Linked DNA regions of Anolis sagrei. The protein of the gene in region 2 interacts with the protein of the main gene of each other region in a pairwise test. Links are inferred from orthologs where the notes say so. Each region holds a gene or a part of one and is shown on either strand. Other genes may lie near its edges.

Region 1 (10,437 bases), on a different chromosome or scaffold from region 2:
AATAGCAGGTAAATACATATCTATCTTCTGTGAAAACAGTAAGGTGAGATACATCTATCAATCATAACCCTATAATTGATTGCCCCATATACAGTATGACCCGCATCCCCTTATTCATAGGAAATATCTTGCAAGACCCGTCATGGACACCTTAAATATTGCATAGTGGACTCCATATTTTTTTTAGTACATTTGGGTCAGAAGCATACTATGGAATCACACTGGAGGACCTTTAGAGTCCACAAATACTTTCAGGGTAGGAGGGTGTATTTTTTTAAAGTGCAGGTAGATGAAACTGTGAATATTGAATTCATGGATAAGACTGTTGTATTGTATCTTATTTCCACAAAAACAATGGGGGGGGGCAGGTAGGTGAACATCACAGCAAAAATATAATGAAATACATCCAGGTGCCCCTTAGAAGTAGGCTAGCAAAATCTCTCTTGCTATATTTGAGAGAATATCCTTTTGTAAAATAGCATACATTCATAATATCTATTTGCAACCTACCCCTTGGGAGTCTTGAGGAAGAGCAGAATTGTGAGTGCAAGCTCATTATGATCATTACCTCCTTTCATACCAGCTGAGCACAAAGAAACCGGCAGCAAGACAAATAATGCTGTGTATATTTTTGTCTCTTTCTTTTCTTGTAAGCTTTTTTTTAAAGAATGCAAATGGAAAAACTGTTTATTTTTTAAGAATGGAGAATTAAAAATTGTTTGGTTTGCAGGCTAACTAAGCCATCTTGGCATAAAAAAACCTGTGGACAAAATTCCTATCACTTTCATCAGTTCTATTGCATCCTATATCATTATAGACTTCATTGAAATTTATTTCCAAGTACACATGCTAGGGCATTCAGAAAATTAAAATATTGGAATGACAACATCTATACTTTGGGAAAATACAGTAAATGTTTATCACTGATCTGCAATCACCCAATGGCACAACTAAAGTTCAGCATCTATAGACTAGCCATGAGCGTGTTGCACAGACAAAACACAGCCATGACAGGAACTGAAAATGGCACTTCTGGGTCATGTGCCACCAGAAGTGATGCTTTGGACTATGAATCACGCAATGCTAATGTTACATTTGGCAATGTTTAGGCCAGGAAACGGGAATGATGGACACCGTTCTAGGGCATGCATTCAAAGTCCAGTCGTATGACGTAGGATAGGAGATGAGCATGATCCAGTCCTGTCAAAAGAGAAGAAAAGAGCATCTGAGGATTATTTATGGAGCAATTCATTCTAGTGGATTTTCAAAAAGGGAGGGCATGTAATTGGAAGCTTTAGAACAATCTTGAAGTAGAAATCTCAGCATACTTTCCTAGTACTGTTGTTTTTAGAGGGTCAGAGTAGTTTAGTGTTTAAGCATTGGACTACAACTCGAGGGGTCAGGTTCAATTTTCCAGTTCACCATTGAAACCCACTAGGTGACCTTGGGCGAGTTAGCTACTTAGCCACATAAAAAATTGCAATAGTCTCACCTTAGGATCACCATAAGTCAGAAATGATTTGACAGCCCCTTCTACATTGCCATTTAAAATCCAGATTATTTGATTTGAACTGGATAATAGTGTAGACAAATATGATCCAGTTCAAACTCAAGAATGGAAAACGGAATGTTGAAGGACAGGAAAAGAGATTTAAAGATGGGCTGAAAGCCAACCTGAAAAACTCTGGCATAGACACTGAAAACTGGGAAGCCCTGGCCCTTGAGTGCTCCAGATGGAGGTCAGCTGTGACCAGCAGTGCTATAGAATTTGAAGAGGCGTGAATGGAGGGCGAAAGAAACGTGCCAAGAGGAAGGCGAGTCAAGCTAACCCCGACAGAGACCGCCTTCCACCTGGAAACCAATGCCCTCACTGTGGGAGAAGATTCAGATCAAGAATAGGGCTCCACAGTCACCTACGGACCCACTGCCAGGACACCACACTTGGAGAACCATCATCCTCGGACTGCTAGGGATCGCTTAGGTAATGGCAGGATTGTTGATAGCAGAAAAAAATCATGTCATTGCTATGGCAAGAGCACCTGGCAGTACAAAGGGTTAAACTTTTGTGCTGGCAGGACTGTTGACTGAAAGGTTGACGGTTCAGATCTGGGGAGCAGGGTGAGCTCCCGTCTGTCAGCTCCAGCTTCTCATGTAGGGACATGAGAGAAACCTCCCACAGGATATCAAAACATCAGGGTGTCTCCTGGGCAACATCCTTGCAGATGGCCAGTTCCCACAGGCCAGAAGTTACTTGCAGTTTCTCAAGTTGTTCCTGACACAAAAAAAATTGCTATGGCATAGCACATTTATGTGATAAACTTCGAAGAATGTGGTATAGTAAAAACAAGCACCCAAACACAAAACAGATTTATTCAGGGCTCTTCCACACAGCCATATAGCCCAGAATATCAAGGCAAAAAATCCCACAATATCTGCTTTGAACTGGTTTATCTGATCCAGACAGTATTTCCACAGTTTACCAGACCTTTTAGAAAATAAAAACTTGACCAGCTCTCTGGCGTGTAGAAATGGCACACCACGAGAGCGGGGCTGGGGGGAGAGGATGGAGGAAAATTGCCCCCCCCCCCCCCCCCGCTCTCTCATTTTTATGCATCGAGAGAGCCTGCCGAGGCTTCTAATGGAGGCCACATAAGTTTTTATTACTTTTCTAAGGGGTCTGAGGGCTTGAGGGGAGGGGGTAGGGCCTCCATACGTTCTCTCAGGCTAGTGTGCACCTTCTGGGGTGGGTGTGGACAGGCCCTCAGAAACATCCATATTTGGTGATGCTTCTGGGATAAAGGCCTGTCTGGATCCGGTCTCAGTTCAAAGCAGATATTGTGGGATTTTCTGCCTTGATAATCTGGAATATAGGGCTGTGTGGAAGGGTTATCTGAAGGCTCTTCCACACTGTCATATATCATGTTCTGCAGTTAATGGTTGAGTAATCTTTAAGTAAGAGTTCATGGGGAAAGCAATTAAAGGTGGAGGTATGCAAGAGATGGGTTGCAGCTGGGTGTTTCTGGATATAAAGAGCTAGCCTTGGGATTGATCTTTGGGAGAAAAGTATTTGTTTTATTTTGGTGATAGATGATGCTGGTTTTCCCCCAGGTTTGTGGATTTTCGGTATCCTGACCTGTCTCCCGTACTCTTGGAACCCTGAATCTTTGTACTACGGTATAGACTCTTAATCCCTGAACCTTGTTCTATTTCCCAGAATATCCAGGCGGAAAATTCCACAATATCTGCTTTAAACTGGGTTATTTATTTAAGAAGAACCTTAAAACCTGGCTCTTCCACTGTGCCTTTGATGAGTAGGTATACAATTTCACGTGAATGTTTAGCTAAAAGTTCTGTCATTGGAGTAGACGTCCCCCCCACTTATGGGAAAGCTTGACTCCACAACCCCCGCCATAATGAGTACTACTCCACATATTATCTGCTTCTCTCTTTTATCTTGTCTAAGTTTTTAATTAATTTTAATTAGTTTGTTTTTAATCATTACATGCAGCCCACCCATTGTCTCTGTGCCTGTGTCTATTGTAATTCTTATATTGTTATGTATTCATATGTTTTATGTAATTATGATGGAGCCCCTGGTGGTGCAGTGGGTTAAACCCCTGTGCTGGCAGGACTGAAGACCAACAGGTAGCAGGTTCGAATCCAGGGAGAGGCGGATGAGCTCCCTCTATCAACTCCAGCTCCTCATGCGGCAGTGGTTCTCAACCTTTCTAATGTCATGACCTCTTAATACAATTCCTCATGTGGTGGTGACCCCCGACCATAAAATTACTTTCGTTGCTACTTCATAACTGTAATTTTGCTATTGTTATGAATCATAATGTAAATATCTGATATGCAGGGTGTATTTTCATTCACTGGATCAATCTGGGCATAAATACCCGATACACACAAATCTGAATACTGGTGGGGTTGGGGGGAGTCATTTGTAGTTTCTGGGATTTATAGTTCAGCTACAATTAAAGAGCACCCTGAACTCCACCAATGATGGAACTGAACCAAATTTGGCACACATAACTCCCATGAACAAGATAAAATACTGGCAGGGTTTGGTAAGCATTGACCTTGAGTTTTGGAGTTGTAGTTTACCTACATCCAGAGAGCACTGTGGACTCAAACAATGGTGGATCTGGACCAAACTAGGCATGGATACTCCATATGCCCAAATGTGAACACTGGTGGAGTTTTGGGAAAACAGACATTGACCTTTGGAATTTGTAATTACTAGGATTTATAGTTTGCGTACAATCAAAGAGTTTTCTGAATTGGGCCAAACTTGACACACGGAACCCCCTTGACCAACAGAAAATACTGTGTTTTCTGATGGTCTTCGATGACCCCTCTGATGCGCCCTCACGACTCCCCTAGGGGTCCTGACCCTCAGGTTGAGAAATGCTGTCATGCGGGGACATGAGAGAAGCCTCCCACAAAGATGATAAAAACATCAAATTATCCGGGCGTCCCCTGGGCAACGTCCTTGCAGATGGCCAATTCTCTCACACCAGAAGTGACTTGCAGTTTCTCAAGTCGCTCCTGACACGACAAAAAAAATGTAATTATGATGTTGTTTATTGTTTGCGTTTTCTGTTGTGTTTTGATTTTGTTCATTGTAATTGTTGTTCGGGCCTGGCCCCATGCAAGCCGTTTCCAAGTCCCCATTGGGGAGATGGTGGTGGGGTACAAATAAAGATTATTATTATTATTTGAGTCCATATTCATATAATGTGGGATTTTATTCACCTCTAGATTGGACTACTGTAATGCGCTCTACTTGGGGCTGTCCTTGAAAATGGCTCGGAAATTTCAGCTAGTCCAGCGGGCGGCAGCCAGGATGTTAACTGGTGCTCCCTACAGAGAGAGGTCAACCCTCCTGTTGAAGGAGCTCCATTGGCTGCCGTTCATTTTCCGGTCCCAATTCAAGGTGCAGGTGCTTACCTACAAAGCCCTAAACGGGTTGGGACCTGCCTACCTGTGTGACCGCATCTCCGTTTATGAACCCGCACGCTCCCTTCGATCATCTGAAGAGGCCCTGCTCACGATCCCACCTGTGTCGCAGGCGCGTTTGGTGGAGACGAGGGATAGGGCCTTCTCTGTGGTGGCCCCCCAACTCTGGAACTCTCTCCCCAAGGACATCAGACAAGCCCCAATGTTGGCAGTCTTCAGGAAGAGCCTGAAGACCTGGCTGTTCCAGTGTGCCTTTCCAGAATAGGAAACTCCTGGCATCAAGTCCCAAATGCACTTTGTTAGAGATTCGGGATTATCTGCACATTGCACCTACCTCCAAATACCTCTACATATTACCTGTCAAGTTCAGCACTTTTAAATTTTGTCTATTACATTTGGCCTGGCCTTTAGGTTTTAATTGCGTCACGGTGTCATCGTTTTACTGTTTTATTGTTTGTGTGACGTTTATTATTTGCTTATGAGTTTTATTGTGTATTTTATGTTGTTGTCGGCGGCCTTGGCCTTTGTAAGCCGCATCGAGTCCTTCGGGAGATTTTGCGGGGTATAAATAAAGTTAATAAATAATAATAATAATTTTCTGCCTAGATATTCTGGGATATGTGTGGAAGGGCCCTCTGTCTCAATGAGGCTGTGCATGCCCTGTCTTCAGCTGCTGTGGGTGTGGTGGATTGCTATGTAGGGCTTCCCCTTCACTGAAGTGAATCTCAGCACTTTTGAGGTAGGTTGGGATTCAAATAAGCTTCATTCCAGAAGAAATGGTAAGAAATAAAGAAAGGGGAGGGGGAGGCAAAGGAAATGCATCTCCCTCCTTGCCCTCAACCCTCAGTGTTGCTACTGGGAGGGCTTGTTTTGTAATCCTCTTGAGCAACGCTTGGAAGCCACCTTGGCGCGCGTTTTCCCTCCCTCTCTCCCTCTCTCCCTCCCTGCTTCCTATTCTCCTCCGCCTCAGAACTGGGGCAAGTAGCGCAGAGAGGCAGACGCGTCGCGGAGGCTGAGGCGCCCCTGGAGAGCCGCGCCTGCGCAGTGCGCACGCCTCCCGTCTCTTCTTCTCCTTCCCTTTCTCCTCGCCTTTTCCCTTCTCTTGACTCGGAGCCGCCACAAAGCGCGAGCGGAGGTGGCGAGAGGGGGCTCCGCGGGAGGCGTCCCAAAGCCGCGCCTGGAGGAGAAACACCCGGGAAGGGAAGAAGGAGGGCAAGGGGACAGGTTCCCTTCCTCGAGGAAGCGCAGCAGCAGCCACCTTGCGCGCCTGGTCCGCCTCCCCTCCCCGCCCCCTTTCGCCCATCTATTCGGTGCCCATCTGTCTGGCAAAAAGGCAAAGAGGGAGCAACACGTTGCTGGCAAGCTGCCTTGCCTGCTTTCTCCCTTTCTCCCGCCCTCAAGTTGCTGCCGGGCACTGGGAGCAACTTTGAAGACCTCCCTTGAGCAGGGAGAAACACAACAGGAGGGGCTTGTCATTCAGTTCTTCCAGGCTGTGCTTTGGGGTTGTGTTTGTGAGGAGAAATCATAAGAACAGGACAGGTTTTGCGCGCCTTGCCTCGGTCCGCTTTCTCTCTCTCGATGGAGCAGCGTTGCTTCGCCCGACGGAGCGTTGCCTGCCACAAAACCACCGGCTGAGGGAGAGATGCTGGCCAGGATGCCAAGTGGGCGACCCCAAGGCCTCAGGGGGCGAGTGTGGGCTCGCCCAGCCCCGCCAGTACCTCTCGCCGCCTTCCTGGATCTAACTTCCCAAGGTCTTCTCTTGAGAGGCTGCCTTGCCTTCAGGACCCAAGGGGAAACCGTTTCCTGTCATCGGATAACGAAGCCCTTCTTTGCCTTTCTATGAACATGAGATTGGATTTGCTCCCTTTCTGGACTCCTGGAAGCCTGGCCTCTGTGAAGGATGTGACTGGAACCTGCAACCTCTTGTGGAAATAAAAGACATTATTTATTCATCACCCAAGTCGCCTTTCTCTTTGCTCCAGCCTTAGAGGAGATGTTTGGCCCTGGCAACCTCATCAGCTGCAAATAAAAGGGCATCCTTACTCTGTACCTGGCAACCTCATCTGCTGCAAATTTTGTTTTCATGTCAGGAGCAACTTGAGAAACTACAAGTCACTTCTGGAATGAGAGAATTGGCTGTCTGCAAGGAGACGCCTGGATGTTTTGATGTTTTCCCATCCTTGAGGGAGGCTTCTCACATGTCCCCGCATAGGGAGCTGGAGCTGACAGAGGGAGCTCATCCATGCTCACCCTGGATTTGAATCTCCAACCTGTTGGTCTTCAGTCCTGCCGGCACCACCGGGGGCTCTGCTGCAAATAAAAGGGCATCAGCACAGAGCTGTACTCCAAAACATGCATCCCATCAAGGCACTCTTTGGCTTGGCATGGCTTCTAGGCAGGCTTTCTGCCCTAGCAGCTCTGCCCCAGGCACCCTCCAGAGGAGATGGCCCTCCTGTTGGCAGAAAGGGCAAGGAGTGTGGAGCATGGTGCCGGGCCTCTCTGCCACCACTGCGGAAAGAAGCAAATGGGCAAGAAGTTGTCTGGGCTGTGGAAAGCATGGCTCAAACTTCGGCTCAGAGCAGACAATCCAAAGGCTCTACAGCTCCAACTCCACAGGACTGGACTTCTTCGAACAATGCCAAGGATTGGAGTATCAATGGAGAAGCCGTGCCACAGCCTGTTGTCTCCTTGGGAAAACATAGCCAGAAGCATGTCAACAAAGACACTATTATAGCCTTGGAAACTGCAAGAGACTTTGATCTCCTGCAGGAGACAGAAAGTAGGTGGCATAGTACAGGGATTAGTTCCAAGAGACATGCTAGACTTAAGCGAGGTGCCACTGAGCTCCAGGACCAAGGACGAGTAGGGAAAGCCAAGGCTTTCAAGAATGTCCACCCCGCAATAAATGTTTATAACTTCACAGACAACCAAAGTACCCATGAGGTAGAGAGTGATCTCCCTCAGGCGCTGGCCTTGAATGGCTCCACAGTTGGTGCTGTGGAGAGAGATGCTGGTGCCCTACGCAATGGGACACTCCGCCCAGGTCGGGTCAAGAATCCCTTCTACCCCTTGACGGAGGAGTCGTATGGTGCCTACGCGGTCATGTGCCTCTCGATAGTGATCTTTGGCATTGGGATCATGGGCAATATGGCTGTGATGTGCATAGTGTGCCACAACTACTACATGAGGAGCATCTCCAACTCCCTGCTGGCCAACCTAGCCTTTTGGGATTTCCTCATCATTTTCTTCTGCTTGCCACTGGTGATCTTTCAAGAACTCACCAAAAAGTGGCTGCTGGATGATTTTTCTTGCAAAATTGTACCATACATTGAGGTAAGTCAAAGAATGTGATATTAGTGTTCACATGGTGGGATCGTGGATCTCCTTAATTAACAAGAATAGCATATTTTGCTGAGCGTGCCTTCAGTGTTGTTCCTTTCCTGTACTCTGAAAAAGTTTTCAATATCTAGTTAACTTCCATTTAACTAGGAATGGTTAAGTTTTGAATATCTAGTTAACTTCCATTTAGGAGCAACAGTGGTGCACTGGGTGGAGCCGTTGTGCTGACTGAACTGCTAACCTGAAGGTGGATGGTTGGAATCCATGAGATGAGGTGAGCTGTCTGTCAGCTACAGCTTGCCATGCAGGGACATGAGAGAAGCCTCCCACAGGATGGTAACGCATCTGGACATCCTTTCGGCAACAGCTCTGCAGATGGCCAATTCTCTTACACCAGAAGTGACTTGCAGTTTCTCAAGTCACTTCTGACACAATTAAAAAAAACTTCCATTTAATATGCTTCATTTCAGCTCCTTCCTCAATCTCAACCTTGGCAATTAAAAAAAAGAAAAAATCATGCTCATTTCAAGATGTGAAATATCATAACTTCTAAAGAAATTGTGGTATGTAAAGTTGACATAATTGACTCCCAATGCTCTGACCACATTTTAGCTTTGGTCCTCTTGACTTCAATGAGGCTGATTATGAATTATACCAGTTGAAATAGTTGAAATAGGATTTAATGTTATATATTGGGTCAGATCTACAGATCCACATGAATGTGAGTTTTCTATTCTATGCATGAATCCATCATTCTACATTCAGAAACACTATAAATGAATAACTGTATCAGAATGTGATTAATAATTTTTGGTTACTGCTAACACAAATAGAATTTGAAAAAAATCTGTTCCTGTTTTGAAAGTGTTATTTCCTGTTTTGTTGTGCAGTACTTACTTTGGAAGTAGTTGTTATGTTTCAGAAACTGCATTTTTGTGTCTGCCACCAACTATGTTAAATTGGTTGAGAGACTATTCATTGAAAAACTATAGCAAAATGTGTTGCAGGATTTCCCCCCCCCCAAAAAAAAACCAAAGTTTTTGCAGTTCAATAAACTTTCCCCATGTTTTATGATAGAACCAATTAGGAAATGTCATTTATAACCCAGGAACACAAATTATGTTACATAGTGTAATAGGGCTATGACTCAGATTTGTATTCCTATCCATACTTCCCAATTTTGATTTTGAAATTATTCCTACTTAAAGTAAATTTCCATGAAAACAGTAAAACTTATTTCTAACTTCTGAAATATAATTCTGCTTGGCTTGCATTTGAGTATTCTATTGTAACTGTTAAACCAGACTATCATAAGAAATTATGGTCCAGTTCATGGAAACTTTTACATCTGTCTGTAGTTGGATATATTGTGAAGTCACACATGGAAGGAGGGCTTCTTTATTGTTCTTGCTGTTGCCCAGTTTACTTAAGAAACAGAGAAGAAAAATGTTTCCTTTTTCATGTGACTTGATAGTTTGAAACCCATAGATGTTATTGATGTATCATTAATGTAATTGATCATTTCCAAATACCATAGTTTCCTATATATATTTTAAAAAGTGCCTTGGGTTTCCTTTAAATCTAGTTTGGCAAACACAGCAGTATCCTGTCAGCCAAGCTTTCAGCCAGCTGGCCCAAATCTTGCCATTATTCAGGTTGTCTGTTTTATTTATTTACTGAGGAAACCAGAATCACTAAAGCTAGTGGGTGGTATGGAGTAATTTTGGCAAGCAGTGCTACTTTGCCTGTATGGCAATATGTTCACTATCACTCATTTAAGTAACAGAAATAAGGGGAGGGAAGTTTCTCCTTATCACTTAAGAAGGATATTCCGCTTGCTAGGTAGGAAACAGTTGCTGGATTCTTTTGGAATAACATTTACTTCAGAGTCTACTTTGACAGTCAATGTAATTGTCATGATGGATTTTCTGAAGATAGAGATTGGGGCCTCATCTACATTGCCATATAATGTTCGTAGTTTGAAACTGCATTATATAGTCAGTGTAGATGGGGCATGGGAGTGAATTCCTCCCTTTTCCTTTTCTTGTACAAGAAGGTGCACTTTCATATAAATAAATCACTTTGATTCGTGTCATTTTAATGTTCTCCTTTAGGGCATGATCCTCAGCTGTGGAA
Region 2 (10,866 bases):
TACTACTCTTGCAGGCTAAACATGCACTCATGTAATAAAATATTATCACACTTGCAAATCTCTGTAATTCAGTACAGTCATCGGGTAGTTTAGAGATTTTCCATAGCTTTCAAATAATGTTTATAATTGATGTGTAACAATACTAATTAAATACATTTTGGGAGGCTTTTGAATTAATTGTGATTTGCACTATTTAATTGATGTCACTCTTGTTCCTGAGTTCCGATATGCCTGCCACTTAGTTCATATTCTGTTCTTCCAATATTCAGCTATTTGCACTGTCTCTATTGTTCTTCTTGCAAGTAAATGTATTACTTATTTTAGGGATAATTTTACCTTACCTGCTTCAAACAGTGTGGTTGCAAAGCAAGGATGCTAAATTCAGAGAAGATATCCCAAAAGCAAGTGAGGAAAAACAACCTTGCAATCACTTTCATTGAAATACAGTATATTGGAATAAAGCCTTATGTATAATATTTGCTGATAGGCTTGGTGATGAAAGGTCTCTCATATACAGAGTTGAGAGAAATCAAAGTCAACTTGATGACTGTTAACAACAATACAATACAAAGATACTCCACTTTCTAGGTTTCAAATTAAACAGATCCTTTATAGATTGTGAAATAACTTGTTCCAGTTAGATTTATTGATTAAATAACATATCTGCATTTTATGTCTCCCTGAACTCATGAAACATGGATTTAATGAAGATCTATATCCATGTTTGCTGGTCTTGTCTCCTGACACTCCTGTTCTTGTGCAAGGTATTCATCAAAATAGAAATAATAACCAAAATATTGAATATAGTTGGAAGAGACCACATGGGCCATCTTGCCCAATCCCCTGCCATTCAAGAAAAGTACCGTAAAGAGCCCACGACAGTTTCTGTTTAAAAGCTTCCAAGGAAGGAGCTTCCACCACACTCTGAGGCAGAGAGTTCCCCTGCTGAACAGCTCTTACAGTCAGAAAGTTCTTCCTAATGTTCGGGTAGAATCTCAGTTCCTGTAATTTGAAATATTGCTCCAATCCCAGTTTCCAGGGCAGCAGAAAACAAGCCTTCTCCCTCTTACTTATGACATCCTTTCACATATTTATACATGGCTATCATGGAACTGTGTCTTACTTTAGGTCTTCTGTGTCTAGTGAGTGTCTATCAAACAGGAATCTGATTAGTTTTGCTCCCTAACTGATCACTGCACAGAACTGAAAAAGTCAAAATGTCTTGTTCAACTCTATTTCATAGCACTTTTCAAAAAGCTTACTTTCTAAATGTACTCCTTGGAAAAATGAAATCAGATATAATAATAACTTTTATCGTACCTTTCTATTTCATATGCAAGCAGAATTCAATATGCATTTTGCCTCTCAATCTCTTATGTTGATCTTTGGAAAGATAATAAATTAACAAAGGTTTGGAACTTAATATAAGGTGCTGCCTATTATATTTCCCTACTTGGAACACCAAGTAAATATTGTGTTACATGTCAACTGATCTCCACATAGAGGTGTGTGTGTGTGCCCCCACGTGCATGTGTGTAATAGATACGATGAAAGAAAGGAACAGGAAAACAATTACAACTTGATTAAGAAAAAGCTTGAATGACCGAATACATGGATTTTGACCAGGCAGGAGGGGTGTATTGGAACAGGACAGAATAGGGATTCTGTTGGTGTAACGCCCATCCCACTGCTCAACAGTCTCCCTTCCTGAGCTAGCAGGAGTGGTCTCATGGTTGGCATTGGAGTCTCAGTGACTAATAGTTCTGGGAGATTTCAACTTCCATACTGAGACTGCTCCATTGGGAGTGGCTCAGGACTTCATGGCCTCTATGACAACCACGAGTCTGTCCCAGATGGTGTCTTGCCCTTTCCATGCTGCTGGACACACTTTGGATCTTGTTTTCTGTGCAGGATAGGATGATGGTGATGGTGGTGTGGAGGAATTGGTCACAGTTCCATTGTCATGGACCAATCACTATCTGGTCAAGTTTAGACTAGCTGGGACTCCAAACTTCAAAGGAGTGTGTGACCAATTAAGATGGTCTGCCCCAGGAGACTTATGGATCAGGATGGGTTCCTGTCAGCTCTTGGGGATTTTCCTGTCACCTTGGCAGGTGATTCTGTTGAGGCTCTGGCTCACCTCTGGAATGGGGAAATGGCCAGGGTAGTAGACACAATTGATCATGAATGTCCCCTCTCATGGAGCAGAGCCAAACCAGCCCCTTGGTTTTCCAAGGAGTTGGTAATTATAGAGCAAGTGAGATGGAGACTAGAGCAATGTTGGTGGAGAACTCAAAGCAAATCTGACTGAGCACAGGCTAGAGGGTATTTGAAAGCCTACTTCATGGCAAAGGGGGCAGCAGAGAAATCATTAATTGCTGCTACCATTGCATCTGCAAAGAACTGACCAGCTCAGCTGTTTCACGTAGTCAGGGGACTATTACATATTGCTCCTCAAGGAGAAATCCCTGATTACTCAGCAGCCCAATGTGAAGAATTTGCACAACATTTTGCAGATAGTCACTCAGATCTGTTCAGAGCGACTATGGATGCTGTTATTGATACAGTTCCAGTGGATGTAACTTTGGCTTATCTAGTATTGATGGAAACCTTTCAGTCTTTGCAGTCTGAGGGTGTGGACAGGATCCTTGGAGAGGTGAGAGCTACCACGTGTATTCCAGATCCTTCCTGGCTGATCAAACAGGTCTCTGGAAAAACTCCTTGCTCAAGAGAGCCATTTACTATATTCAACAAAGGACCACGTAATCCCTCCAAGCAAAATTTAACTAGCCAAGAGGGACACGGGTCGAGAGGGCAAGTGGTTGATCGAACTGCAAGAGGCTGATCAAACCTTTAAAGCCATAAATGGTTCAGGTCCAGGCTATTTGACTGACTGCATCCCCTTGTACGAACCAGCCTGGACTCTGAGATCTTCAGGAGAGGCCGTTCTCTTGGTCCCACATCCAACTCAAGCTCGTTTCGTGGGAACGAGAGAGTGGGCCTTCCTTCTTGGTGGCTGCCCCTCAACTCTGGAACTCCCTTCTTCCCAGGGAAGCCAGAATGTCCTTCTAGTAGCAGGCTAAAACTTTTTTTTATTCAGGCAGGCTGTTAAAGATGAAGGTGTTTAAAACCTTCAAGGGCTGCTGTGATTTTGTGGTGTTATTTTATATGCATTTATGGTTTTAACCTGGATTGTTTTAATATTAATGTTGTTTAATGCTGTTTTAATATTTGTATATTTTAAGTTGTATTGAAATACTTTTAGTTGTGAGCCACTTTGAGTATGGAGAGAAAAAGCAGGATATAAATAAATATGTATATAAAAGAAAAGTACTTTTGAATGAACTACCCACATTATTTCTGGGTTGTTAAATTATTCTTCCCTTTCACTGACAAATCCCAAAAGACTAGAATACAAATAGAGACTCCATTTTTGTGTAGCTGCAAAATGAACTCATATTCTGTAGTGACCTTTAAAAGCTCATATGTTCACTTGTGAATTTTCCATTCTGTAGTGGCAGGTCATTACCAGGAGGATCTACCAGGATGGCAAGTTGTGGAGAGATGGAGGATAGTGTGGGTGTTAAATATGTGATGTGCATGTGTGTGTACACTTTGCCAGTTGACATATTGCAATGCCATTAATTTTCTGTGGTTTTCTTAGACAAGGAATACTCAAGGCAATTTTGCCCTTTCTTTCCTTTGAAATATAGCCTGCAGCTTCTTTTTTCATTGGCAGTCTCCCATCCAAGTACTAACCAAGGCTGGCCCTGCTTGGATACAAGTATCAGATAGGAGCTAATGTATATATACAATGGAAGAAAGGAACAGTTAAACAATTATGACTTGATTAAGAGAAAGCTTGAATGACTGAATTCATGGATTTTGACTATGCAGGAGGAATGTCATAGAAAGGAACCAATAATAACTGCAATGAATGAGAGATCAATAAATAGTTTAGGCCATAAGAAGAGGCAGGGTAGATGAAGTCCAAAATGTCACACCTAGGGAGGCAATGTTTTCTTCTGTTGCCAACCGTAGATGTTTAATAAAAGACCCCAGGCAAGTAAACATAAATTCTCCCAAACATAAAAAGCACGCAGGAGGTAATATATAGCCCTCATGACTTTACTGCTAATGAATTGATCTTTACACTTTAGAAAAGGAAAAGCACAATCTCATTGTACTTCTTGTTAATAGCAGCTATTGAGAAACACAAAATACAGTAAGTATGACTTCCTGGTGTTTTGTTTATCCCTCTCTGACAAAATATGTCCTCTCTAGCCATTGGCTAGGTTCTCTGGAGAGACTTTACAGTTTTCTTGGGCCAAAAATTATTCATTTAAAAAAGGGTTAGCAATTATTATTATTATTATTATTATTATTATTATTATTATTATTATATGCAAAGTCCAGAAATATACTCTCAACCGATACTGGGGTTGTGCTCCATTTAAAAGCCTCTGCATCTTATTCAAGTAGGGACTTCAAATGTGGCAACCCAAAAGCCCAGTAACTATTATTTTAGAAACCATTTTTATGACATTCATGCACCACCAACTGAGCTCCAATTGTCTTCCTCTCCGTTATTATCTCACTGAGGTCCCATGAGGTTTGTTGTTGTATGTCTTCATGTTTCCAACTTGTGGCAACCTCAAGGCACTTCTGTCCATACATTGCAGCAATAAATGCAGACATGATGCTTAAATAAATATGAGGCCTGTCATAGGTCAAAAAAGGGTGGTTGGAAAAAACTGCAGGGTGACACAGGCTGGATCTACACTGCTCTGTATTCCAGATTATCAGCTTTGAACAGGATTATACAAGTCTCCACTAACAGACAATCTGGGGTCAGATCCTGGGATACAGAGTAGTGTAGATCCAGCCGCAGTCTTTCTCTCAGGTCGCACCTACACTGACCATTTAATGCAGCTTGGAGCTAAACTGAGGTGGCTATACAACCAACTCCCACAAAAGCATCCATAACAATGTCATCATCAATGTGCACCAGTGCTCTCTTGTTTGTGTAATTGCCATTCCGGCCTCCTTCTGGTTTTAGGATATCCTAGGTGATCAATGATCATCTGCACAGGGAAAACACTTTCTTCAGCACCAGTTTGAAGCTGCCTGAAGTGGCCAGTGTAGATACACTGTCGGACCAAAGAGAAAAACATGCAGTTTTCGGAACAGGAAAAAGTAGTTCCCTGTAGATCAGTGGTTCTTGACCTGTGGGTCCGAAGGTGTTTTGGCCTACAACTCCCAGAATTCCCAGCCACTTTACCACTGCCCTAAGTTTCTTGTGAGGGGTCTGCTTGTGTGAATGGTTTACAGCAGAGGTTCTCAAACCTTTTAAACAGAGGGCCAGGTCACAGTCCCTCAAACTGTTGGAGGGCGGGATTATAATTTGAAAAAAAATGAATGAATTCCTATGCACACTGCACATATCTTATTTGTAGTGCAAAAACCACTTAAAAACAATACAATTAAAATGAAGAACAATTTTAACAAATATAAACTTATTAATATTTCAGTGGGAAGTGTGGGCCTGCTTTTGGCTGATAAGATAGGATTGTTGTTGTTGTGCTTTCAAGTCATTTCAGACTGAGGTTGACCCTCAGCGAGGGTCGGGTAAATGATCTTGGAGGGCCGTATCCGGCTCCTGGGCCTTAGTCTGAGGATCCCTGATTTACATTCTGCTTAGACAGATATAGATTCATGGGACCTTCAAGTTGGAAAAGCCCACAAGGGCCTGTCTGGTTCAGCACTGCCCATCTTGGAAGGATGTGTAACAAATACTCTCTGGAAAGATGCCTCCCAAGAAGAGTTTGCAGATTTCCAAAGGAGATACTGCTGCAGAGATTAACGTGTAGACCAGGCATGGGCAAACTTCGGTCCTCCAGGTATTTTGGACTTCAACTCTCACAATTCCCAACAGCTGGTAGGAGTTGGAGTCCACAACACCTGTAGGGTCGAAGTTTGCCCATGCCCAGTGTAGACTTTGACAAAAACGAACACACCATCGGTGCGATACATTGGTGGTCCGGCCATGCACACAGGAGTAGAAAGCCTCCCACCACGCTTTCCCGCCACGACAGGGCTAGATGAGTCCCCCGCACCCGCACGCCCGCCCATCCCTCGGGGCACCAAGCCCCGGAGTTCACTTCCCAAAGGGTCCTGCGGAGGATGAAGCCCGTGGAATCCTCTGAGGACGCCAAGTAGGAATGGACGTGGAGGGAGAAGCTCGGGCTGGCAGACTCCAGGCGAAGGGCTTCCGCCGCGGCGCCCCGGCCCCTTCCTTCCTGCTTTCCTGCTTCCCCGTCGCGGGCTCCTTCCTCCTGTTCTGTCGGGCGGTTTTGCCGGAGCCCAAGCAGCTCCGGCTTCGGATCAGGTGCCGAAGGGAGCAAGGAAGGATCGGACGGAAGGTCTCTTCCTCTTCCCAACGGCCAAGCCAGCCATTTCCCCCCAGCCTTCCTTCTTCCCTCGGCGATCCCCGCAGAAAGAAAGAAAGAAGGAAGGAAGACAGGCAGGCAGGCAGGCGGGCGGCAGCCGGACCGACGGGCGGGACCCCATCCCGGAGCGTGGCTGCGCGGGTGTCGCGCGCTCGGAGGGTGGCCGTGCGCCGGCAGCCCATTGGCTGGGGGCGGCTTGACGTCACAATTAGGAGTTCCTATAAACTCCCCTAAACCTAACGGGAGCCGGGACAAGTTCTTCGGCGGGCGAGGGATCCGCAGGCGCGGCGCGAGCGGGAAGGAAGGAGGAAGGAGGAAAGCAAGGAGGAAGGACGGACTGGAAGGCAAGGGCCACATGCGGGGCCCGGTCCCGCCGCGCCTCCAAACGGCACTTCGTCGCGGCCGCCGGGAAGCCAGAGCCGCCCGAGGCTGACTTGGGCTCCTGGAGGCGCCATGGAAGTGGCCAGCTCCCCCGCCAGCCCGCTCCTGCCCTTCGCCTTGAGCCTGAACGATAGCCCCTCCGGAGGGCCCAGTTCGGGCAATGCCACCGCCTCGGAAGAAACCTGGGTGGTGGGCATGGGCATCCTCATGTCCCTGATCGTGCTGGCCATCGTCTTTGGCAACGTCCTGGTGATCACCGCCATCGCCAAGTTCCAGAGGCTCCAGACCGTCACCAACTACTTCATCACCTCCCTGGCCTGTGCCGACCTCCTGATGGGCCTGGGGGTGATCCCCTTTGGTGCCAGCCACATCATCCAGCGCACCTGGAAGTTTGGGAACATCTGGTGCAAGCTCTGGACCTCCATCGACGTGCTGTGTGTCACGGCCAGCATTGAGACCCTCTGCGTCATCGCCATGGACCGCTACTTTGCCATCACCTCCCCTTTCAAGTATCAAAGCCACCTGACCAAGAATAAAGCCCGGGTGATCATTTTGTTGGTTTGGGTCATCTCCATTCTGACCTCCTTCTTGCCAATCCAGATGGACTGGGACAAAGCTGACATCCCTGAGGCTGAGAAATGCTACAAGGATGAAAACTGTTGTGATTTCTTCATCAATGGAGGCTATGCCATCATTTCTTCCGTCATCTCCTTCTACCTGCCATTGGTGGTCATGGTTTTTGTCTATGGGAGGGTCTTCCAGGTTGCCCGGAAGCAGCTCAAGAAGATAGACAAGTGCGAGGGCCGGTTCCACCAGCAGAGCTCCCAACAGGAACAGAATGCAGGAAGAGCCGGTCACAGGAGAGTGTCCAAGTTTTGCTTGAAAGAACACAAAGCTCTCAAAACCCTGGGCATTATCATGGGCACGTTCACGTTGTGTTGGCTCCCGTTCTTCATTGTCCACTTTGTGCATGCCATCAATGAACACGTGATCCCCAAATCCCTGTACGTGATCTTGAACTGGCTGGGATATGTCAATTCTGCCTTCAACCCCTTAATTTACTGCCGTAGCCCAGACTTTAGGTATGCTTTCCAGGAGATCCTCTGCTTCCGGAGGTCTGCCTTGAAAATGTACATCAACGGGTATTCCAATAGCACTGGAAAAAATGACTTCATTGGGGATCACAATAGCTTTCATGCGGGGCGAGAAAAGGCCTGTGAATTGCTCTGTGAAGAAGACAGCCTTCCTCCTGGGGAAGAGCATTTGCATTGTAAAGGTACTGTGTTGCATGGTAACGTTAATTTGCAGGGATGGGACATGGTTGATGACCATGGCTGTTGATGGTAATGACATGTAAAATGGGAAATAGAACAGCTGTTTGGACAACTGCAGTGGTCCCAAATGCAGGAAGAGATCCCACGCTGGCATGTTATGGTTATACCAATATTTAAGGAAGGGCATGATTGGATTTGCGTATATATCAATTAGAGCTCCTTCTTCCATTAAGAGCAAATGCACTGCTGGGCCTTGTCCTCCAAGGAACTTCTTTGTTGTGATGTAGTGTCACCATGTTCATCTACCTCACAGGTGTAGGAATTGCAAGCACTGAGCTGAGCTGCCTAAAAGTGAAATCCCTGCGCTTGAGAAAGAATTTGGTGCTATTGATGACGCATCCCCTCTTTAGAAGATGATGGCTCTAAGGATTCCTTTAAAGCAGACATGTGCAAACAATGACCCTCTAGGTGTTTTGGACTTCAACTCCCACCATTCCTAACAGCCTCAGGCCCCTTCCTTTTCCCCCTCAGCTGCTTAAGTGGCTGAGGGGGAAAAGAAAAGGGCCTGAGGCTGTTGGGAATTGTGGGAGTTGAAGTCCAAAACACCTAGAGGGTCATAGTTTGTACATGTCTGCTTTAAGGCAAAGATATCAAGCTCAATCTGACAGATTTAGGAATACTGTAAAGTCAATGTTTACCTTTTGTTTAAGTTATTTGAATGTGTCGTGTTTTAAACATTGTATGGAAATCAGTTCAAGGAGAACCTCCAAAATCTTTATTAATTATAGCTGATACAAATACAACAAACATAATGTTTAGCACCACGTTATTTTAGTTTTTCAATGTATTTCACCCTGTGAAATACCACTTTGAAATTTGTTTTTAATTGTCATCTTCAGGGCTTATGTCATTGAGAAGCTGAGAGTTGCCTTGCAGTGTAACTAGCCCACCCTCATCGCCCATTTATCATATTGCACCAGTAGTAATATTCACGGGTTTCTTCATTCAGGGCTCATAGTTCCATATTTAGACTCTTGGCAGATACAAGGCAAATAGTGAGGAACTTGTGTGGGTCCTTATTTTAAAATCATGAAACAAAATGTTTTGCAGCGGTTGCTGTGATCCATCCCGATGGTGGTTTATTGAACTCTTGGAGTTTATTTGGAAGTCCAATTTTTGTGATAATATAAAACAATGTTTTGATTCTGTTGAAGGTTTTGTTCAGTAACCTGTTGTGCCTATGCTTTCATTTCCTCTTCTGTGACTTCCCATTGAGGCATGACAGGAAGGCAAAAATTATGGTTGCTCCAAGCAGTGCTTTGCTAGTCTTGGACCAGCAAGTAATTTGCAAGCAATTCCATTTAAGGGACCTTGGCTAACAACTTCAGTTTAGTAAGTGATTCTAAGGGCATGACACTATAATGACAAAAGTAAATACTCCACTCCCTTCCAAGAAATGCCTCCTCTTCTTCTTTTTTAAATAAAAAAATTGCAGTCTACAGCAGCCTGGAAGCGGTGAATTCTGGAATAAATATGGGATTGATCTAGGTTATCTGTATTATATTGCTAAGCTAGTACATAGTGTGCTTGTCCCTGCCTGGAGGTGTTTAATCGTTATTAAGAGCTTATATTTTTCTTAACAATTCATATTCATTGAGGAGTATAGCTATTTCCTTCCCTAACTATGTCCAGTTTTCTCTGTCCAAACAGCTGTTTTTTTGTTGTTGAAGGTTTTCATAGCCGGAATCAGTGGGTTGCTGTGAGTTTTCTGGGTTGTATAACCATATTCCAGAAGCATTCTCTCCTGGCATTTCACTCAAATCTATGGCAGGCATCTTCAGTGGTTGAGAGGTCAACCCCTCAACCTCTGAGGGTGCCTGCCATAGATGTTGAAGAAACATCAGGAGAGAATGCTTCTGGAACATGGCCATACAGCCTGTCTTTTCCCACTTCTCTTTGTGAGCATTGCTGGGCCTCTATGAAATCAGTCTGTCATATACTCTGTAAGAACATGCAAAAATCATCAGTGTTGGCACCATTCAAGAAAATTTCCCTGATTACCAAAGATGTAGAAGTGTTGTGTGCCACTTGCGATAGCTATTCAAGTAATTCTCTGATCTGAGTAGGTGTATGTTTTGCCACCTCTTCCTTTAATTAAGTTAAACAAACATCTCAAAAGAAAATGTTGCTGGAGCTATTAGGATACTCCAGGAATCCAAAAATTCTTGAAAATTCTGAAAACTCTTTGCATCCCCATTTGAATCAAAGCTTTACTAAGAAGTGTAGGCAGTTGAAGGGCTATAGTGTCATCTCTGTGAGGCCATGCAACTTTGCATGTGTGTATGTGAGAGAGAGCTAGAGAGAGCAAGAGAGAGAGAGAGAGATGCCCAAGTGCATGTTGACGGATCTAGGAAAGAAAACCAGTCAGCCATATGACTATGGGCACTCTCCTCCACTTCCCCCACTCCTAGTTGCAGCTTTGGATGCAGCTCTCTGTCATTCACAATCCCATGTTTGAAAGCAGCTTGTTTGTGATCCCTTTTCTTGGCACAGAGCTCCCTCACCTGGCAGTCAAAGTTTAACTTCCATTTTTGGTCATGGGAGGGGAAGGGAGCGGAACAAAAAGAGATGAAAGGAAAAGAGGTGCCTTTTCCCAATGAGGAAGACTTGTTGTAACAAAGTCGATGATTCATTAAGTATGCATTTCAAGGCAATCAGTATTTTTATACACACTTTTGAAACTATCCCAGGAGATTTAGTAG
Region 3 (11,061 bases), on a different chromosome or scaffold from region 2:
GTATCAGTTAAACCCAAGTATATCCAACTCATGTATGGTAGAAAAAAATGTTTTTGTCCAAACTCAGTGGAAGGGCACAGTTGACCTACAGGTCCCCAGTCAGTGGTGGAGGTAAAAAACTATTAAAATAAATTCTTGAAACATGCAACAGTATCTCAATGCAGTACAGAAAAAAGGGAACCATAACACCATCAAAATGGTGAAAGGTTGCCTGGCAATCTGACAGCCTGCATGTAAGTGGGGGACAGACTGTGAGAAAGCTCACAAACAAACCTTCGCTATCTGTGAGCACTTCCATCCGGCCGCTGAACATTGCCTTGAGCATAGTGTCTTGTTTGGTGAGGGTTTGCACGGTGGTGTAATGCAGGGACCCTCCGACATTCAGCTTGACATACTTGCTGCTGGGGTTCAGGGGCTTGAGGTCAAAGGTCACACCGGCTACCCCTCCGCCGCCATCCCGTCGTTGCTGGGTTGGGACCAGGGGTGCGCAATTCTCCAGGGAGGAGGCCTGGTCTGCGGTGGCTTCAGCTGACATAGCCACCTGAACAAAATAGAAAATTCAACAGAGAAATGATGAAACACTATGTTTCCCGCAGAGCTCAGATTTGACTGTTTTGGGCAGGAATGCAGAATGTGTCACTTTCTAGATGTTGTCAGAATGTAATTTCCATCATTCAGCGTCATTAGTGCTGTGCCGATGGCTGTTATTTTAGATCAGACATGGGCAAACTTTGTCCCTCCAGGAAATTGTTTCAATTCCCACAATTCCTAACAGCCAGTAGGGACAAAGTCAGTCTATCTGTCTGTCTGTCTATCTATCTAAAATAGGCATGGGCAAACTTTGCTCCTACCAGCTGTTAGGAATTGTGGGAGTTGAAGTCCAAAACACCTGGAGGGACAAAGTTTGCAAATGCCTGTTTTAGATAGATAGATAGATAGATAGATAGATAGATGGATAAATAGAGATAGATTCCTAACAGCTAGGAGGGGCAAAGTCAGTCTGTCTGTCTATCTATCTATCTAGCTATCTATCTAAAATAGGCATGGGTAAACTTTGCTCCTACCAGCTGTTAGGAATTGTGAGAATTGAAGTCCAAAACACCTGGAGGGACAAAGTTTGCCAATGCCTGTTTTAGATAGATAAAGATAGATAGATAGATAGATTCCTAACAGCTAGTAGGGGCAAAGTCAGTCTATCTATCTGTCTGTCTGTCTGTCTATCTATCTATCTGAAACAGGCATGGGTAAATTTTGCTCTTACCAGCTGTTAGGAATTGTGGGAATTGAAGTCCAAAACACCTGGAGGGACAAAGTTTGCCAATGCCTTTTAGATAGATAGATAGGCAGGCAGGCAGGCAGGCAGGCGATACCCTGCTTTTCTCTCAGGACTTATACCCAAAGCAATGGCAATTCAGTAACATTTAGAGAGTGAGTCAGAACCAGGAAAGTTAATTTTAAAAATTGTTTTAATTCCTTATTGCCCACTGCTGTTACTCATTACAGCGTTAAAGAGCAAGTCATGCCTACTGTATTTATTGTTTCATTTCTATTGCTTTCTTAACTCACTATGAGAGGAAAGGCTTTTAAGACCAATAAAGATACAGCATATAATCTGGAGAAAAAGTTTTTTCCCTTTCTGCAGAAAAAAACACTCTGCAAACCTTCAAGCCAATTTCAAAAAATTTTCTGTCCCCCACTGCCACCAGCTTCACACTGCGCCCAACACTTCCACTTCTTCAATGACATCCCATCCTGGACCTGTCTGCTCATCACCAGTTGTAGGTCTTCTATAGGAAAGGGGGTAAACTTCAGGCTTGTGGGTTTTCTTTGATTTTTACTAGAATCTGGAGGTCCGTTTACCAAAATCAGGTGAAAAATGTCACTTCTGGCATGTACTTATACTAATAGTTAAAAATTAGAGTGGCTCTGAATATATTCTTCCTCCAGAACCAAGGCTACATGTTCTCTGTCACACACAAAAATGCATTCCTGGCTTTCTCTTGAATATTCTAAGACTTATTTATATATATTCTTCTTAGACAATAAGGGATCAGAAACCCATTTAAAAATGCTGAAAAATTACCCAGAGATCTACTAACACATCCCAATTCACCTTCTGTCTGACTGGCACATTCCTGCTATTCCTAGCAGGAAATGGGAGATTTACACTCATCTTTGTGTCCAATGCCCTTTGGCTCAACAAACCTGCCTCAGGCTATTGTTTCCTCCTATTGCCTCACCTTTACCCATCCCTGATGCAACCACACTGGGAATTAGTCCTGACATTTCCATGTCTTCATCTATCAACCACCTGCAAGCTGGGTTGTTGTATTTTTTTTTTCGGGCTATATGGCCATGTTCTAGAGGCATTCTCTCCTGAAGTTTCGCCTGCATCTATGGCAAGCATCCTCAGAGGTAGTGAGGTCTGTTGGAACTAAGAAAATGGGTTTAAATATCTGTGGAAAGACCAGGGTGGGACAAAGAACTCTTGCCTGCTGGAGCTAGGCGTGAATGTTTCAACTGACCACCTTGATTAGCATTTGATAGCCTGGCAGTGCCTGGGGCAATCTTTTGTTGAGGGCTGATTAGATGTCCCTGATTGGGTTGTTGTAGGTTTTTTCGGACTATATGGCCATGGTCTAGAGGCATTCTCTCCTGATGTTTTGCCTGCATCTATGGCAAGCATCCTCAGAGGTAGTGAGGTCTGTTGGAACTAGGCAAAAGGGTTTATATATCTGTGGAATGACCAGGGTGAGACAAAGGATTCTTCTCTGCTGGGGCTAGGTGTGAATGTTTCAACTGACCACCTTGATTAGCATACAATGGCCTGACTGTGCCTGGGGCAAACTTTTGTTGAGAGATAATTATATGTCCCTGCCTCTTCCTCTCTGTTGTTGTGCTGTTGCAATGTTGTGCTGTGGCTGACTTTCTTGGTGGCTCTGTAGATAGTTTGTATGTTGTCCCTGATTGTTTTCCCTCTACTGTTTTGCTGTTTTAATTTTAGAGTTTTTTAATACTGGTAGCCAAATTTTGTTCATTTTCATGGTTTCCTCCTTTCTGTTGAAATTGTCCACATGCTTGTGGATTTCAATGGCTTCTCTGTGTAGTCTGACATGGTGGTTGTGAGAGTGGTCCAGCATTTCTGTGTTCTCAAATAATATGCTGTGTCCAGGTTGGTTCAGCAGGTGCTCTGCTATGGCTGACTTCTCTGGTTGAAGTAGTCTGCAGTGCCTTTCATGTTCCTTGATTCGTGTTTGGGCGCTGCGTTTGGTGGTCCCTATGTAGACTTGTCCACAGCTGCATGGAATACGGTAGACTCCTGCAGAGGTGAGAGGATCCCTCTTGTCCTTTGCTGAACATAGCATTTGTTGGATTTTCTTGGTGGGTCTGTAGATAGTTAGTATGTTGTGTTTCCTCATCGGCTTCCCTTCCCTAAGTGGTTCCCTTGATATATGGCAAGAACACTTTTCCTCTGGGTGGATCTTTGTCTTGACTCTCATGGCTTGCCATAGGGCTTGTTCTCCAGACCCTTGATCATTTTCGTTGCCCTCCTCTGGAAACATTCCAGCTTGTCAATATCTCTCTTGAATTGTGGTGCCCAGAATTGGACACAATATTCCAGGTGTGGTCTAACCAAGGCAGAATAGAGGGGTAGCATGACTTCCCTGGATCTAGACAGTATGCTCCTATTGATGCAGGCCAAAATCCCATTGGCTTTTTTTGCCGCCACATGACATTGTTGGCTCATGTTTAACCAGGTGAAACGTCAGGAGAGAATGCCTGGTGAACCTATGACACTCGTGTCAGCACTGACATGCATGGCTATTTTTGATGACATGCAGACACAGAGACATGCAGACACCTTATAAGAACTAAACTAATTCCATCCCTAAATTTGTAAAAGGCTCTACAAATTTAACATCTGCACATTTGAGCATTGTTCGCTCTATAACTCAGCATGGATTATACATTTTTTCTTATTTAAACTATAAATATTGCCATTTTTTTCTTGAAGTGGCACCCCACTCAAGCTATGCTTAGGTTTTTGGCGAATTCTGACACACCAATGGCAAAAGCTTGTCGAACTTGGCCATACAGCCCAAAAAAACGTACAACAACCCAGTGATTGTGGCCATGAAAGCCTTCGACAATATACCTGCAAGCTGTTGCTTCAACTAGGTTCTTGTGGGTTTTTTCGGGCTATAGAGCCATGTTCTAGAGGCATTTCTCCTGACGTTTCGCCTGCATCTATGGCAAGCATCCTCACTACCTCTGAGGATGCTTGCCATAGATGCAGGCGAAACGTCAGGAAAAATGCCTCTAGAACATGGCTCTATAGCCCGAAAAAACCCACAAGAACCTAGTGGTTCCAGCCATGAAAGCCTTCGACAATATGTTGCTTCAACTCTTTCTAGATACATAGCCTTGAGGAATGAAGAACAGCAAGTGCATGTTTGGGTGCATCTACCCTGTAAAATTAATGGCAATTTACCCCACTTTAACCACCAAAGCTCAATGCTGTGGAATCCTGGGAGTTGTAGTTTGCTGCACTCTTTGGCAGAGAAGGCTAAACACCTTGGAAAACTCCACAGCATTGAGCCAAGACAGTTAATGTGATGTCAAATGGTGTAGATGCAGCCTTTGTGTGTGTTTAAGTGGCTGAGGGGGAAAAGGAAGGGTCCCGAGGCTGTTAGGAATGGTGGGAGTTGGAATCCAAAACAACTACAAGGCCCCAGTTTGCTCATGACAGTTAAGGTGGTGTCAAACCGCATTCACTCTACAATGTGGATGTGAGGGCTGCCCTCATCCCAACCAATGCTTCTCTCTCTTTCCCTGTCTCCTTCCTTCTCTTTCTTGGCTTCCCAACCTGAGGCCACTTCCTGCCCTTCGACCTCCGGCCCAGAGTCCGTCCCCCGCTTCCCCCGCCGACGAGGCCCACTCACCTCCAGCCCCGCCTGGATTCAAGGCCTAGCGACCAGCCTAAGAGACGTCCAAGCCCCTGAGGGAAGAAAGGAGAGGAGGAGAGAGGCCACGGCGCATGCGTAAACTTCCCCGCCTTCTCCCTCCCCTAGGGGTCTCTCTCTCTCTCTCTTTGGAGAACGTGAGCAGCTACATCCGGGTACCGCCCGTGTGAAGCAAGCTGAAGCCCAACAACACACGAGGGTATTGAAAAGGAAAGAGAGAGGAAGAGAGAACGGCGCATGCGCAGAACGATTTTTTTTTAACAGCGAGGGAAAGGTAACGGAACGCAGAGAGGACCAAGATTATTTCAGGGCGCATGCGCTGGAGGTAGTGAGAAGTTTTTGTGTTGTGTAAGAGGCAGTATTCTATAGAGCAGGCCTTGGGCAAACTTGGGCCCTGCAGGTGTTTTGGACCTTCAACTCCCACAATTCCTAACAGCCTAATAATAATAATTATGGCCACATCATGAGAAGATTTATTTATTATTTATTATTTATTTATTTGCTTTATTTCTATACTGCATTTTTCAGCCTAATTAGGCAACTTAATGCGGTTTACACAATACAGGTTATCACAACAATATCCTAAGCGATTAAAACACATAATATACAGCAGACAAAATCAAACAATCATTATCATATCATAACGCCTCAATAACAAATCGGAATCCGTTCTCATAATCCTTGTACCATTTCCTATGTTCAATTTTACCGTCTTCCTGTGTTCAGTTGCACTGTTTAGCCAAACGCTTGTTCGTAGAGCCAGGTCTTAACCTTCCTCCAGAACGCCAGCGGCGAAGGGGCCTGTCTGATGTCTACAGGTAAGGCATTCCATAGCCGAGGGGCCACCACCGAGAAGGCCCTGTCCCTCGTCCCCGCCAACCGCACCTGTGACGCAGGCGGGACCGAGAGCAGGGCCTCCCCGGACGATCTTAATGTCCTAGTCGGTTCATAGGTGGAGATGCGTTCAGAGAGGTAAGTAGGGCCAGAACCGTTTAGGGCTTTATAGGCTAACGCCAGCACCTTGAATTGTGCCCGGTAGCAGATTGGCAGCTCCAGGAAATAAAGCCCGACTGCTCACTGGAGGGAAGGATACTAGAGATAAAGTTGAAGTACTTTGGCCACATCATGAGGAGGCAGCAAAGCCTACAGAAGACAATTATGCTGGGGAAAGTGGAAGGCAAAAGGAAGAGGGGCCGACCAAGGGCAAGATGGATGGATGGCATCCTTGAAGTGACTAGACTGACCTTGAAGGAGCTGGGGGTGGTGACAGCCGACAGGGAGGTCTGGCATGGGCTGGTCCATGAGGTCACGAAGAGTTGGAGAAGACTGAACGAATGAACAACAACAACATGAGAAGAAAGGAAAGCTTAGAGAAGACAAATATGCTGGGGAAAAGGGAAGGAAAAAGGAAGAGGGGCCGGCCAAGGGCAAGATGGATGGATGGTATTCTTGAAGTGACTGGCTTGACTCTGAAGGAGCTGGGGGGTGGCCACGGCCGACAGGAAGCTCTCGCGTGAGCTGGTCCATGAGGCCATGAAGAGTCGGAAGCAACTGAAAGACTCTTCATGCTTTTGTATCACTTTATAAAATTGATTTGAGAAGCTGCCAACCCAGCCTTGCGATGACCTTTGCCCACATTTTTCCTGCCCTGGGAGGATCAGCCAACATCTTGCCAAGCTTCCTTTGCATTTGATTGGATTAAATCAGCTACCTCCATGCAACCCATAAGTCCCAGGTGACACAGAGGTCAATGGGAGCCCTGGAGGACCACCCAACCTTTGTGTTGCTGCTTGGACAATAGGTGACATTTGTCATTCTGGTATGGAGTTCAGTCATGAGAAACCATGCAACTGTCTCGGAGACTAGGATGTGGAACAATGGTTTCAAACTACAAGAAAGGAGATTCCATCTGAACATTAGGAAGAACTTCCTGATGGTGAGAGCTGTTCAGTAGTGGAACTCTCTGCCCCAGAGTGTTATGGAGGTTTCTTCTTTGGAGGCTTTTAAACAGAGGCTAGATGGCCCTCTGCCAGGGGTGCTTTGAATGCGGTTTTCCTACTTCTTGGCAGGGCGTTGGAAAGGCTATTTCCCCCTTTTTCGTTTCCAGGACAGAGAGAAATCTACATCAGAGGCAGGCAGTGCTCTCCCATTGGCTAAAGTGTGCCAGACTCCCACCTCCGCAAGGAGAGCTAATTGACGTTATCTTGGTTTGGCCAATCATGGCCAAGCTGGGGATGGTGGGAACTTTGAATCAGACTTGTATAAAAATGCCTGTTTTGTTGTATTTCAGCTTATTTTGGGGGTGGATTACTGCAGGCTGGCATTACTTTCAGCTAAAATTAAATAAATACCTCGGTGGGTTCTGCTTCAACTTGGTGAGATTTATTCTGGAATATTGGCTGCTTTTTCTTACCAGGCTTAACCCACAGCGGCTTGGATCTCACTATCCACTGCCGTTTTAAATTGTTCGACAACACATACACCAAACACAGGATACAAAAACCAACCCATAGTGGTAATATAATGTAAATTCAAAATTCATGATCCAGAGTTTACAGGGAAGACCTCTCGGAACGGAAAGGTCTTCAGTTGGGTCTTAAATTGGAGTCAGCATCCACCAAAAGACCACAGTGTCCTAAAGGGTAGGTTCTATGGGAAAAGGCGATCCTGTAGGTAAGGACCCAAATCATGTAAGGCATTAAAGGTCAAAACTAACACTTTATATTGTAGGGCTGACTGGCTGGATCTTCATTACCTTATACCCCAGGATCTCATCCCAGATTATCTGCTTTCAACTGGATTATACGAGGCTTCTTATAATCCAGATTATCAAAGCAGATAAAATAATAATAATAATCTTTATTTATAACCTGCCACCATCTCCCCAAAGGGGACTCGGGGCGGCTAACATGAGGCCAAGCCCAAAATAATACAACATAGTTACACACAGAACAGCAAAACACATCATAACAAAATATATAAAATAACAAATGACAATAACAATAAACAGTATAAAATAGCATAATAAAAGCAAACACAAAGGGCCTCATATAATCCACAATATCTGCTTTTAACTGAATTATATGGGGCCCCTTCTACAGTACCGTATAAAATTCAGACGGATTTGAACAGGATTATATGGCAGAGTGGATTCATGTTCTGCAGTTCAAAGCAAATAAGGTGGATGATCTGCTTTGATAATCTCAATTATATGGCAGTGTAGAAGAGGCCCGAGTCTACACTGCCATATAATCCAGTTTAAAGCAAATAATCTGGATTTTACATGGCAGTGTAGAAGAGGCCTGAGGACCCTTCCACATAGCCATACAACAGCAAGGCAGAATAACTCGCAGTATCCGCTTTGAACTGGAACACCTGAGTCCACACTAACAGATAATCTGGGATAAACAGGTAATCTAGGATCAGATCCTGGGTTATAGGGCAGTTATAGGGCAGTGTAGCTCCAAACTGTGTATGATAAATTGTTTTCACAAAAGTAGCTTTCTTTTCTGATGAAATGCAGATCAAAATGTTGAAAACAGGACAAGCTCACATTCCTATAAGGGAAGAAAGGAGGGAGCTTGGGGCTGAAAAGGGCCGCCTTCTAGAAAACAGAAATAAGGATATCACAAAAAGGCAAAGGAATAGAGGTGGAGGGAAGGGAGAGAAGGTAGGAAAGATGAAAAAACTACAAGTGAGAGAAAAGAGGGGTAGGTCAGTTATGGAAGTAAAGAAAGAAAAAGGGGTCCCTTCCCCCCCCCCCATCAGTATAAGTAATTTTTATTCATTTTACAAAAAAAAAACATAAAATCAAAATACAACACAAAACACATACTAAAAAGAAAACAGAACAAAACAAGACAAAAAAAGAAAAAGAAAAAAATTTGACTTCCATTCTTCTTCCTTTCACCCCATAATGAAGAAAAAGTTTCTTCTATTGTCCCGAAAACAAATAAAAATATGGTTCCTCAGTCTTTGTCAAAAATCTTATTTACCATCCTTGTAAATATAATCTTCAAAAACTGTCCAGTCCGTCATTTTTACTCCCTTTCCGTTGTTTGATTTTAATAAAAATGTCAATTTATCCATGTCCTTAATTTCCATTATTTTATCCAACCATTGAGTCTTTGAGGGAATCAACTCTATTTTCCAGAACTTAGCAAAGGTCATTCTCGCCACAGTCGCAAAAAAGTGAACAATTTATCAGCATTTAAATCTTTAAATAAATCCAAATCATATATTCCTAAAAGGTCTCATTGGAAAGTCAATTTTCAATATCTTTCTACATTCATTGTGTACCATTTTCCAATATTCTGATGTTTTTTCACGTGACCCCTACATATGATAGTACGATCACTCTTGTAATTTACATTTCCAACATCTGTTATCCATATTTTTATACATTATCCCTAATTATTTTTGGTGTTATATACCATCGATGTAACATTTTAAAGCAATTTTATATCAGAAGCATAAGTATATCTTAAAACGTTTTGTCATAAACTTTTGTCCATTCCTCTAAACTAATCGTTCTGCTGACATTTCTTGCTCATTTAATCATGGAGTTTTTTATCTCCTCCGTTTCCGTTGCCCATCCAATTAACTTATCATATATCTTAGTAATTGTTTTCCTTTCGGTATTCAATATATTATCCCAGAAAGTCTTTCTCTCTCCAAAACCTATTTTCTTTTCCAAATTAAAATATTCCTTAATTTGCATGTATTGAAACCACAAAACGTTTTTGAATTTTTGACTATTTTCTTCTTGTGTGTATTTTATTAAAATTAAAAAGCACAATAAAACCATAAAAACTAGAAATAGAAACATTTTCTACAAATTTTATTTATTTATTTACAGTATTTATATACCGCTTTTGTCACCCCTATGGGGACTCAAAGCAGTTTTACACATAGATAATGGCAAAAATACAGTGCCTTATAACTACAATAGTAAAACCACACTTTAAACATAAATCATATTAAAAACAGTACATCACCAAATATCAAAAGAGTTATTAAAAATACAAAATATTTTCCAGCAGGCCTGCCTAATCAATTTTTAACTATTCATTTTTGCTACAGATGCATCTTTTTGCCTCACTTTCCTGTATAAAAAACTATTTTTTCTTTGTTACATTATGAGCCTTGCCTTAATTACAAGACAAATTGCCAGAATGAGATCTCTCTCACACACACATACACACACACACATATATCAGCATATTAAACTGAAGCTAAACAAAATGGAAAACCAGTCACAATGAATTAAAACAAGGATATAGGGCTGTAGTTCTGCAGATCAGATCTGGTTACAAAATTTTTCCACAATGTTCCAAGATATTTGCCTGCAGGAAATACAGAAAAGAGGACAGAATGTTAAATCCTGCAACTATTCATACCAGACAACACACACACACAGTTGTGTAAACACATAAATGCAACTGTCAGGGTAATAAAACCATCCATAGCTCTTAGTTATGTCTGATCACAAGATCTGCTGGCTAGAAATCTAATACTGCCCTTCTGCGTTTCCTCTTGTAAAACAACTTCCGCTAACTGTATTTCTCATTGAGCATAATGGAGACAAGAAGACCCTGCTCCAAATTGACCTGCCTACAGGAAGTAGAAATGTGGCTCATACCTATAGTAATGTGCACCAACTCCAAAAAAGGCAGCATTTTAGTTTTCTCCCTTTCCTCACATCCTGTATTGTAAATCATATCAAAAATCTAAGCTACTAGGGGTTGCTGTAGTTTTCCAGGCTGTAATGGCCATGTTCCATAAGCATTTTCTCCTGATTTTTTGGCTGCATCTATGGCAGGCATCCTCAGAGTTTGGAAACTATGCAATTGGGATTTATATATCTGTGAAATGTTCAGGGTGGGAGAAAAAACTCTAGTTTGTTTGAGGTATTATTTGTCTCTATTGATTATTATTATGACATTTCCCTTATTTTACTCTATTATTATTACATGTATTATTTTACTCTATTATTACTGTTATTATTATATTTATTTACTCTTTATTATTGGAAGGATACATAAGCACATTTACATTGTAGAAGGTTAGAATAATGGTTTAATCAGAGTTGGACAGT

Evidence for each region.
Region 1: the proteins of ADRB2 (region 2) and GPR37 interact in a protein complementation assay, tested with the Homo sapiens proteins (2 studies listed by BioGRID and IntAct, with this or other methods). The link is inferred for Anolis sagrei from reciprocal best matches to the Homo sapiens genes ADRB2 and GPR37.
Region 3: the proteins of ADRB2 (region 2) and KCTD13 interact in a protein complementation assay, tested with the Homo sapiens proteins (2 studies listed by BioGRID and IntAct, with this or other methods). The link is inferred for Anolis sagrei from reciprocal best matches to the Homo sapiens genes ADRB2 and KCTD13.

Annotation. Positions count from the first base shown.
Region 1 is NC_090025.1:127,039,390-127,049,826, forward strand, and holds the start of GPR37 (prosaposin receptor GPR37), read left to right. Parts: upstream 1-5,949; 5' UTR 5,950-7,314; coding exon 7,315-8,295; intron 8,296-10,437.
Region 2 is NC_090022.1:101,797,746-101,808,611, forward strand, and holds the start of ADRB2 (beta-2 adrenergic receptor), read left to right. Parts: upstream 1-6,158; 5' UTR 6,159-6,902; coding exon 6,903-8,106; intron 8,107-9,981; exon of another isoform or gene 9,982-10,866. UniProt on the Homo sapiens protein: Beta-adrenergic receptors mediate the catecholamine-induced activation of adenylate cyclase through the action of G proteins. The beta-2-adrenergic receptor binds epinephrine with an approximately 30-fold greater affinity than it does norepinephrine.
Region 3 is NC_090026.1:17,155,281-17,166,341, reverse strand, and holds the start of KCTD13 (BTB/POZ domain-containing adapter for CUL3-mediated RhoA degradation protein 1), read right to left. Parts: upstream 5,151-11,061; 5' UTR 4,944-5,150; intron 542-4,943; 5' UTR 536-541; coding exon 274-535; intron 1-273. Other genes in the region: kinesin-like protein KIF22, read right to left, coding at 10,274-10,309. UniProt on the Homo sapiens protein: Substrate-specific adapter of a BCR (BTB-CUL3-RBX1) E3 ubiquitin-protein ligase complex required for synaptic transmission.